Linked DNA regions of Saccharomyces cerevisiae S288C. The protein of the gene in region 1 interacts with the protein of each later gene in a biochemical or structural test. Each region holds a gene or a part of one and is shown on either strand. Other genes may lie near its edges. The genes, in order: OTU1, CDC48 and UFD2.

Region 1 (3,529 bases):
GTGCCCCTAAATACAGAGACCAACGACGTACGCAAGAATTTAGTAGTGATTACAAACCAAAGTGCCGCCGATGAACACCCTACAGAGATCAAGCACGATCAATCAAGGACTTCTTCGACGTCCTCGTTCTTCAGTGGAATGATCTCTTCGTTTAAGTCAAACGTGCCATCCCCAGTTTCTAGATCAACTACGCCAACTTCGCCAGTTTCGCAACCAAGCATTATATCACATAGAAGGGAGCCTTCCATGGGGTCCAAAAGAAGATCAAGCCGCCGTATCAGTAATGCCACAATTGCTGAAATAGGCTCTCCCTTGCAACAGGTGGAAAAGCCTGATGAGGTCAAGACAAGACTCACTCCTTCCCAAATGAAAGAAGACAATTACGATCATAGACGATTCGTGGAAGAACGTTACATGGACACACCTTATCACTATGCGTCTGAGCAAAGAAATAAAGACTTTCATGAGACATTCAAGTCCGTTCCTAAAGATGACAGACTACTGGATGATTTTAATTGTGGGCTGAATAGAGAGCTGCTTTACCAGGGGAAACTATACATAACAGAAACGCATCTCTGCTTCAACTCCAATGTTCTTGGTTGGATTGCTAAAGTACTGATTGCGTTCGAAGATGTCACGTTTATGGAAAAAACTTCTGCTGCTGGGTTGTTCCCCAGCGCAATATCCATCGAAACAAAGATGGGCAAAACTCTCTTTAATGGTTTTATATCCAGGGATGCTGCATTTGGATTAATGAAAGAAGTGTGGTCAAGAACCTTGTTGCAGAAGGACATGGCCAGCGAAAACATCAATACTAAAGCAGAAAAGTCAGGAAATGGCAAAGAGATTGATGATGCAATAAACTCCATCGATGAGGAAAACAATGATAAAGACGCTAATGATAATGACACTAATGAAAATGACGATGAAAATATCTCTACAAATGAGACTACCCCCAATAGTACGAGTTCCTCGCCGGATAAAGAAAAAGAGAAAGCGTATAAACTGCGTGCCGATTCCTCGTATCAGTATGATGGTCCAATATATCATCATTCAACAAGCTTTCCGGCTGAACCTATGGCCAATAACGAGTTTGTTCTCAAGGAGTTACCATTCGATTGTGCACCTGGTATACTTTTTGAGATCATGTTCAACTCAGAGCAAAACGAATTTCTTCTAGATTTTTTACGGGGTCAAGAAGGTTCACAAATTACCACTATTCCAAATTTCACGAGCATTGACGGATCTTCCATGACTTTGAAGCGTGAGTATTCATACGAGAAAGCATTGCACTTTCCTGCGGGGCCCAAGTCCACGACATGTTATGTTGCTGAGGTAATAAAGAGAAAAGATCCTGATACTTACTATGAGGTTATCAGTAGCATACGCACTCCGAACGTGCCCAGTGGTGGTAGTTTCTCAACTAAGACAAGGTATCTAATCCGTTGGAATGACGAAATAACGTGTCTGTTACGGGTATCCTTTTGGGTGGAATGGACTGGTTCCAGTTGGATCAAAGGTATGGTTGAAAATGGATGCAAGAATGGTCAATTGGAGGCTGCGCAATTAATGGAGCGTATTCTTTCCAAGTTCATCAAGAACAATGTCGAAGAGTGCCAAATTACTATCAGCAAGGAGGAAGAGGAGCAAGATGATAAAGAAGTAAAAAATAAGTTGAAAGAGGTTGACCTTGAACAACCAAGAGAAGCGGTTGTTACGGCTCCCGCAATTGCAGAGCAGCAAGGTCTCAAGGTCACCATGGAAACATGGTTGTTCTTATACTTGATTGTGGTCGTTTTGCTATTGTTTAATCTGTTCTACATACGTTCAATTGCTGTCTCATTACATCAACTGGTGAAGCTGCAATTGGTAGAACTGAAGTTGTGATCTGTATTTTCTTCGTACCAATATATATCGTTTCTATAGGGCAATGGTAGTAACTAATAGTAAAGGGCGAAATAAGCCGATTTCAGTGGCAAATAACAACTTTTTCCTTTGAAAACAAGATAACATTGAAGAAGATAACCAAGAGAAGAAACTTTCAAGATGAAACTGAAAGTTACTGGAGCAGGAATCAACCAAGTCGTTACTTTGAAGCAAGATGCAACACTAAATGATCTTATTGAGCATATCAATGTAGATGTTAAGACGATGAGGTTTGGATATCCGCCTCAAAGGATCAATTTGCAAGGGGAAGACGCTTCTTTGGGACAAACCCAGCTGGACGAGCTGGGTATTAACTCTGGTGAAAAGATTACAATAGAGTCCTCTGATAGTAACGAAAGCTTCAGTTTGCCACCACCACAACCCAAACCAAAGAGGGTGCTGAAGAGCACTGAGATGTCAATTGGTGGCAGTGGAGAAAACGTCCTATCAGTACATCCTGTTCTCGACGACAACTCGTGTCTGTTCCATGCTATTGCCTATGGCATCTTCAAACAAGATAGCGTTCGTGACCTCAGGGAGATGGTCTCTAAGGAGGTCCTCAACAACCCCGTCAAGTTCAATGACGCCATATTGGACAAACCTAACAAAGATTACGCGCAATGGATTTTGAAAATGGAATCTTGGGGTGGAGCCATCGAGATTGGTATCATATCCGATGCACTCGCAGTAGCTATTTATGTAGTCGACATTGACGCTGTTAAAATCGAAAAGTTCAACGAGGACAAGTTCGACAACTACATTTTGATACTGTTCAACGGAATCCACTATGATTCCTTGACCATGAACGAGTTTAAAACTGTTTTCAACAAGAACCAGCCGGAATCAGATGATGTTCTAACAGCAGCTTTGCAACTGGCCTCAAATTTGAAGCAAACTGGCTATTCCTTCAACACTCATAAGGCCCAGATCAAATGCAACACTTGCCAAATGACCTTTGTGGGTGAAAGAGAAGTTGCTAGGCACGCTGAATCCACGGGACACGTTGATTTTGGCCAAAATAGATAATAAAATACGCATTTGGCGTTTATCGGTATACTCGTCATGAGACACGAAAAGTGGATAAAATGCATTCCTTTTGTCGTTGATGAAAAAAAAATTTGAAATATATTAAAATGTGCCGTTTTTTACGTGTTCTTTTCACTTATTTTTCTGTTTATATCGTCTATTCTTCTTGGCAAAGTATAAGATCTTTGACGAAAACTAAATCGACAATTTCCTTAGTACTTCTTTCTCCTTTTTTACCTATCTGCTAATATAACCACCAATAATGAGTATCGCTGAATTCGCTTACAAGGAAAAACCAGAAACTTTGGTTTTATTCGATGTTGATGGTACCTTGACACCAGCCAGATTAACTGTTTCTGAAGAAGTTAGAAAAACTTTGGCCAAGTTGAGAAACAAGTGCTGCATTGGTTTTGTCGGTGGTTCTGACTTAAGCAAGCAATTAGAACAGTTAGGCCCAAACGTTTTAGATGAATTTGACTATTCTTTCTCTGAAAATGGTTTGACCGCCTACAGATTAGGTAAGGAATTAGCTTCTCAATCCTTCATCAACTGGCTCGGTGAGGAAAAATACAATAAA
Region 2 (3,758 bases), on another chromosome or scaffold:
TTCTGGACCTTTGACTGAGATAAAGTTGGCAGAAACCTCAGTAGCTACAGCTTTTGCTAACAAAGTTTTACCTGTACCTGGTGGACCGTAGAACAACACACCCTTTGATGGTGATAACCCAAACTTTGTGTATTGGTCTGGATGTAAGACTGGGTATTCTACAGTTTCCTTCAATTCCTCCTTGATTTCATCTAGGCCACCAACGTCATCCCAAGTAACATTGACACTTTCAACAACGGTTTCACGCAATGCAGATGGGTTTGAATTGCCCAATGCGAATCTGAAGTTGTCCATGGTGACTCCTAAAGAATCGAGCACCTCTGCATCAATTTCATCTTCATCTAAATCTATCAAGTCCATTTTTTCACGGATCTGTTGCATGGCAGCTTCAGAACACAAAGAGGCAATATCAGCACCCACGTAACCGTGTGTTTCAGCAGCCAATGCTTCCAAATCAACATCATCAGCCAACTTCATGTTCTTGGTGTGAATACGTAGAACTTCAAGTCTACCTGTAGCATCTGGGATACCAATGTCGACTTCACGATCGAATCTACCAAATCTTCTTAAAGCGGGATCAATCGAATTTGGTCTATTGGTAGCAGCAATGACAACAACATTAGATCTTGCCTTCATACCATCCATTAAAGTTAACAATTGAGAGACAACTCTTCTCTCAACTTCACCATTAGTCTTGTCTCTCTTTGGAGCTATAGAATCGATTTCATCGATAAAAATGATGGCTGGAGCGTTCTTTTCGGCTTCTTCAAAGGCCTTTCTTAAGTTAGACTCTGATTCACCAGCCATTTTTGACATGACTTCTGGACCATTAATTAAGAAAAAAAAGGCACCGGTCTCATTAGCAACAGCTCTTGCCATCAAGGTTTTACCAGTACCAGGGGGACCATACATCAAAACACCTCTTGGTGGCTTGATACCGATAGCCTTGAACAACTGAGGATGTCTCAATGGTAGTTCAACCATTTCCCTAATTTGAGCCATTTGCTTACGACAACCACCAATATCATCGTAACCCACCTCATTCATATTATTTTCTTCATCTTCCCTGTTGATTGGCTCACCTTCCCAGTGAATAATAGTATCCTGAGCAACGACGGCATATTCTTCAGGTTCGACATCCACAACCTTGAATTCGACTTGTCTCATACCGCCTCTGACAACAAAATGGTCGCCTTTCCTCACTGGTCTGTAGGCTTCCACAAAATAAGGCTTCAAAAAAACATCGAAAAGATTACCAGTTATACCTTCGATCGTATCAGCAATTGGTAACACAGAAATTCTAGTAGCGTATTTGATATCGGGGCAAGGATGAATTGTAACTAAATCACCCAGCCTAATACGTAAATTGTTACGAACTACACGGTTTATCCTGCATGCTCCGTCTTCTAATTCGTCATCGATCAACACAATTAAGACAGTATCTTTTCTCTTCTTGCCCTTAACGAGAACGGTGTCACCACGGAACAATTCCAATTTGTCCATGGTGTTAGAATTAATAGCAATGACAGAATTGTCATCATTGATAGCATCGTCCACCAAAAGCATGTTGTCCTTCTTCTTTCTTCTTAAAATGGCGGTGGCGGTTTTATCCTCCTCACGAGGGTCGACACCCGAGGCGTCCAAAAGTGGTTTATGTTCTTCACCCATGATTTGTATATCTGTCTTGTAGTTGAGCCAGTTATCGAGTCAATGGCGTTGAGTCAAATCTTAATAGAACTAGATTAATTGACTACATCAACTGCGGATCTCTTAAATACACGGCCCTGATATATGTCCTTTTTTGCCACCGAATTCACATTCGAGGGGTTGCCGGGTAGTGCGCAAAAGGCGGTAGGTTAAAAAGGAAGGAGTTAGAGCTGTTCATAAGGTATCGATAGCAACGATGGCTAGTAACATGATTGTTAGCATTATAGAGTGGATATGAATGGAAGCAAACACACCCATATGTATAAACTTAAATATGAAAAGAAAACGCTAAAAGAAATCATAGCATGCATTACTCTAATCGGAGCCTTCTAGTTTGGCAAGCAATTCCTTGTGTAGCTTGCCCAACTTATCGAAGTCCGTTTCTTGGGCTGGCCACCCTACAATCAAACCACTTTTCTCATCTCTCTTAGGAATCAAATGGAAGTGGACGTGGTCGACTTCTTGATGCGCAATTTTACCATTATTCTGCAACACATTATAAGTGTCCAACTTCATTGCCTTGGCCAGTCTCTTGGCAATCGGCATAGCATCGGTAAGGAATTCGTCCGGGATGTCATGCAACTTCGCACCATGGTACTTAGGAATGATTAAAGCATGACCTTCAGCAGTAGGTTGGATGTCCAAGAAAGCATACGAGTACTTTGTTTCAATCAATTTGAAGGATGGAATTTCGCCTGTTGCATAGCGGATCGATTGTTAGTATTCTGCTTTATGTATATGTACTACATAGAGACTATCGCCATCATTGGTGTGAGTGTAAGCTCTTTATTAGTAATGTGACATACTTTTAATAATCTTGCAAAAAATACAGGCAGCATCAAGCGTAGCAGGAGCAGACATTTTTGTTGTTGTTAGGTACGGTGCCGATATCAATGGCTCCATCAATGTTTCTTAAAAGTCTGGAAGGCGTGCTGATTGTCCTTTTACTTCATAATGTTCTCCGCTTTCCAGTCGAACACACATCACATTACACGATCGTACAGCAATGCTTCAGTAGGGCGGTAACTTCTTCAGAAGAGAACGGACCCGCCATTATTTCTGCAAGGAATATTCTGTAACGATTCGCACCATATCTTAAAGCTTCTCAAGCTTACTGTTTTATGTGACCTCCTTTTGTACTTTTCAAGTTCTGTAGACAAGTGTCAATTCAACCTTTGAGGCTACGTGGCCAACAAGGTCTTGCGCGATTTACCGGTGTTTCCTTTGCGCCCCCTGCTCATGCCATCAAAACGGCACGCTGTTTTGTAGAAGCCTCCATGCGTCTCCTATTTGGGTCCTTGCAAAATAGTCTAACGAAAGCGCGGAGAATTAACCGGAAAAAGGAAGTTGCCACACTCCCCTTACTAATCCACACCTAGGATCTCCTTTACTCGTATTTTGAATATCTACGAAAACACTCACATACGCTCATCCCATATATATATATATATATATACGGATATATTGATAGTCGGATACTACGTGGATATGGATACACATGTAAACGGTTGTGTTACCCTAAAGAAACGGAGGTCAGTTAACAACACTTTTACAGATGTCATTTCACCAACAGTTCTTTACCTTGAATAATGGAAATAAAATCCCCGCAATCGCCATCATTGGGACAGGTACTAGATGGTATAAAAACGAAGAAACGGATGCTACCTTTTCGAACAGTTTGGTCGAACAGATTGTTTATGCTCTGAAGTTACCTGGCATTATTCACATTGATGCTGCTGAGATCTACAGAACATATCCAGAAGTTGGGAAGGCACTTAGCCTCACCGAAAAACCAAGAAATGCAATATTCTTGACAGACAAGTACTCACCTCAAATCAAGATGTCAGATTCCCCAGCGGATGGACTAGATTTAGCTTTGAAGAAGATGGGCACTGACTATGTCGATCTATACCTTTTGCATAGCCCATTTGTTTCCAAAGAGGTCAACGGGTTAAGTTTGGAGGAAGCCTGGAAGGACATGGAGCAATTGTACAAATCAGGTAAAGCTAAAAATATCGGTGTTTCCAACTTTGCTGTGGAAGACTTGCAAA
Region 3 (3,758 bases), on another chromosome or scaffold:
AGTTCACTCCTCACGCTAAATGTTTAATTTATCAAATTTCATCTCTACCGAATCAGTATCCCTAGATGACGGCGAACCCTCAACACTAGCCCTACGAATTCCCTCATTCTTATTACTGTTACTGTCATCACTACGTTTCGGAATCGCACCAGAATATGAATTTTTTCCTTGAAAATGGTGGTACTTATTTGCTGAGGATCTTGTGTAATTGTTAGAATTATAGCTTGGTGTATTGCTATATGGCCCGCTGTGATACTGAGTGTTATATTGGTATTGATATTGATATTGGTATGGGGGATACATAGGGATTGGGGTGCCAAACGAACAGGACCCTTGGGGATTCATATTGTACATGTAAGGGTTCATGAAGACTGTGTTATTGCCCATTACCATGGGTGAAGGTGCAGGACCGGGGGCAGGACCAGCGGGGTTATACATTAGAGGGTAGGTTGGCAGACTATTGCCACCCATTTGGGGAGGAGGATACACAAGATATGGCGAAGAATATCCCGATTGGTAACCGCCGTTTTCTTTATTCCGACGACTTTGGCCTCTATAGGCATCTTTGTAATTGTTTGTTCCTCTTCTTCTTCCTCCTCTTCCTCTTCGACTATCATAAAATTGTTGTTGAGGTTTGTTTACTTGTATCGTCGTCACAGATGAATTGAATGGTGATGAAGAGCTAACTGAACCGTTACTAGTTTGTGTGTTAGAGTCATCTCCGTTCAACCAATCACTCCATTCATTGTCACTATCACTACTACCGCTACTGTTGGTTGACTTTACATCGTCTTCACTCTTGTTGAGCTTATCAAAAATTTCTTGTTTACGTTGTTCATAAAGTCTTTCCTTCTCAATTCTTTCTTGTTCCAAATCAGTACTAGATTTATCATCGATTTCGATTTTTTGGTCCTTATTTGAATTGGCTGTCAAATTGCTATTTGGTGTACGTGTATTGCCATCGATTTTATAATCGCACTCGTTACCTACCTCTTTCCGCTTTAAGATTCGAAATATTCTGTTATTGTTCGATTTTTCAATACTCTCACTTGAGGAAGCACACTCTTCCGGTTTTTTGTTCAGCTGCAACTCTTGTAAGAGTGGCTTTCCTTCAATCTTTTGGAAATTCTCACCTTTGAAAAGAATCACACAACTATCTTGAGTTCTTGCCAAAACATGGTTCAAGTTGTGGTACTCAGCTATTTGGTGCGATAGAAGCCTATAATATGAATTCATCGGTCTTAGCTGAAATGATTCTGTGTTTGAGTTTATGAATGACACTATGGAATTTTCCAGCTCTATTATAAAGATACGGTCCTGTGGTTTCTGGAACAAGCCCGTTTCCATAGCGGGTGTCAATCCCCAGTTTCGAGAATCTAGTGCTGTCATCACCTACTTCTGCCCTAACTCCTTATATACTTGAAGAGACTTGAATATCTTAGTTGTTAGTACGATACGAAATAACTAAAAAATTAATTAAAATAAAATAAATCGTGCGCCCATTATAAGATGCACGTTTCAACATACTGTCACCACGGCTTGCTGGTACAATATGGCTCAATTGCCTACGCCAAAACTTGTCGAGTTGTATGTGAAAGAAAGAAGAAACAGATAGGCTAACCCGCATATGACACTAGCCAACGCTTCTTAATCGATATTCTTATTATATCAATATTATTTTGCGCTTAACGATTCATCCTTTCGTCGAGGACGCTATTTTGTCAGTATTCGTCAGAGGCGATAGTCTGTCTTTATTACAAAAGGTGAATTGAAGATCAAAGGTAGATTCTAACCATTGGCAACAAAATAATAGAGGTGTACGCCGCAATCATTGTTAATCATTAAGTAATTGCCATTTTATTCACATTTTTAGACTCAACCACTTGCTGTTGCCACAGTAAACGTTAATTATATCTTTGAGAATTGTGTCAGCCAATAGAAAGGTAAAGTTGACCACAAGTTGTTTAAGGGGAAAAGTTAACTTTGAAAGTAGAACCCTCATTCCATAGATCATGACCGCCATAGAAGATATTTTACAAATCACCACCGATCCTTCCGATACCCGTGGCTACTCTCTATTGAAGTCCGAGGAAGTGCCTCAAGGCTCAACTCTTGGAGTTGATTTTATTGATACGCTACTATTATATCAACTCACCGAGAATGAGAAGTTGGATAAACCGTTTGAATATTTGAACGATTGCTTTCGCCGTAATCAGCAACAAAAAAGAATCACCAAAAACAAGCCAAATGCTGAGTCATTACATTCCACTTTCCAAGAGATTGATCGTCTTGTCATTGGCTATGGTGTCGTTGCCTTACAAATAGAAAACTTTTGCATGAATGGTGCTTTCATCAATTATATCACTGGAATTGTTTCTAACGTTAACTCATATACTGATTTCCTTTCCCAAATCATTCAAAGAGCCATATTAGAAGGTACCGCTTTGGATTTACTTAACGCTGTTTTCCCGACATTATTAGAATACTGTAATAAACATGTCAGCCATTTTGATTTGAACGAATCTGTAATTTACAATAACGTTCTTACCATTTTTGAGTTATTTGTTACATTTAAACCTATTGCAGAAATATTCACTAAAATAGATGGTTTTTTTGCAGACTATAGCTGTAAACCACAGGATTTTGAAAGGAAAACGATATTGGGGCCTATTTTATCTCTTTCTCCCATAGAAGCTGCTGTGGCAATCCGGAACTACGGCGATAACCTTTTGCGTTCCAAACAACAGACAGCCATGATCCATGAATCTCTACAAGCTGAGCATAAAGTTGTCATAGATAGACTCTTTTTTATTGTCGATAAGCTTGTTCGTGGCTCCTTAAACTCAAGGACTGATATGATTAGTTATTTTGCCCATATCGCTAATAAAAACCATTTACGTAGAGCCGATCATCCACCATTCAAAGAACTATCCTCTAACGGATTTATGTCCAATATCACTTTGTTATTGGTTAGATTTTCTCAACCATTTCTAGATATTTCATATAAGAAAATCGACAAGATCGACGCAAATTACTTCAACAACCCAAGTTTATTTATTGATTTATCAGGGGAAACACGATTAAATTCTGATTTTAAAGAGGCAGATGCATTTTATGACAAGAACAGAAAAACAGCAGATTCTAAGCCAAACTTCATCTCTGATTGCTTTTTCTTGACATTAACCTATTTGCATTATGGTCTGGGAGGTACATTATCATTTGAAGAGAAGATGGGATCTGAAATCAAAGCGTTAAAGGAAGAAATTGAAAAAGTAAAGAAAATAGCTGCGAACCACGATGTCTTTGCCAGATTCATTACAGCACAATTATCCAAGATGGAGAAGGCGTTGAAAACAACAGAATCTTTGCGATTTGCTCTTCAAGGGTTCTTCGCTCATAGATCTCTTCAACTAGAGGTTTTCGACTTTATTTGTGGTGCATCTACGTTCTTGATTCGTGTTGTGGATCCTGAACACGAATTTCCGTTTAAACAAATTAAATTGCCATTAATTCCGGACCAAATAGGTGTTGAAAACGTGGACAACGCTGATTTTTTGAGAGCGCATGCTCCAGTGCCTTTTAAATACTATCCAGAATTTGTTGTAGAAGGTCCAGTTAACTATTCTCTATACATTTCGAAGTACCAGACCTCTCCAATCTTCAGAAATCCACGTCTGGGATCGTTTGTTGAGTTTACAACAATGGTCCTCCGTTGTCCTGAATTGGTTTCCAACCCACATTTAAAAGGTAAATTAGTG

Evidence for each region.
Region 2: the proteins of OTU1 (region 1) and CDC48 form a complex in vitro, tested with the Saccharomyces cerevisiae proteins (3 studies listed by BioGRID).
Region 3: the proteins of OTU1 (region 1) and UFD2 form a complex in vitro, tested with the Saccharomyces cerevisiae proteins (one study listed by BioGRID).

The regions. Positions count from the first base shown.
Region 1 is NC_001138.5:44,078-47,606, reverse strand, and holds OTU1 (ubiquitin-specific protease OTU1), read left to right. Parts: upstream 1-2,046; coding exon 2,047-2,952; downstream 2,953-3,529. Other genes in the region: LAM5 (Lam5p), read left to right, coding at 1-1,887; phosphomannomutase SEC53, read left to right, coding at 3,215-3,529. UniProt on the Saccharomyces cerevisiae protein: Hydrolase that can remove conjugated ubiquitin from proteins and may therefore play an important regulatory role at the level of protein turnover by preventing degradation.
Region 2 is NC_001136.10:236,997-240,754, forward strand, and holds the start of CDC48 (AAA family ATPase CDC48), read right to left. Parts: upstream 1,669-3,758; coding exon 1-1,668. Other genes in the region: HNT1 (adenosine 5'-monophosphoramidase), read right to left, coding at 2,023-2,402, 2,514-2,610; YDL124W (aldo-keto reductase superfamily protein), read left to right, coding at 3,263-3,758. UniProt on the Saccharomyces cerevisiae protein: ATP-dependent chaperone which probably uses the energy provided by ATP hydrolysis to generate mechanical force to unfold substrate proteins, disassemble protein complexes, and disaggregate protein aggregates.
Region 3 is NC_001136.10:119,847-123,604, reverse strand, and holds the start of UFD2 (ubiquitin-ubiquitin ligase UFD2), read left to right. Parts: upstream 1-2,012; coding exon 2,013-3,758. Other genes in the region: RBS1 (Rbs1p), read right to left, coding at 16-1,389. UniProt on the Saccharomyces cerevisiae protein: E4 ubiquitin chain-elongation enzyme specifically involved in polyubiquitin chain assembly.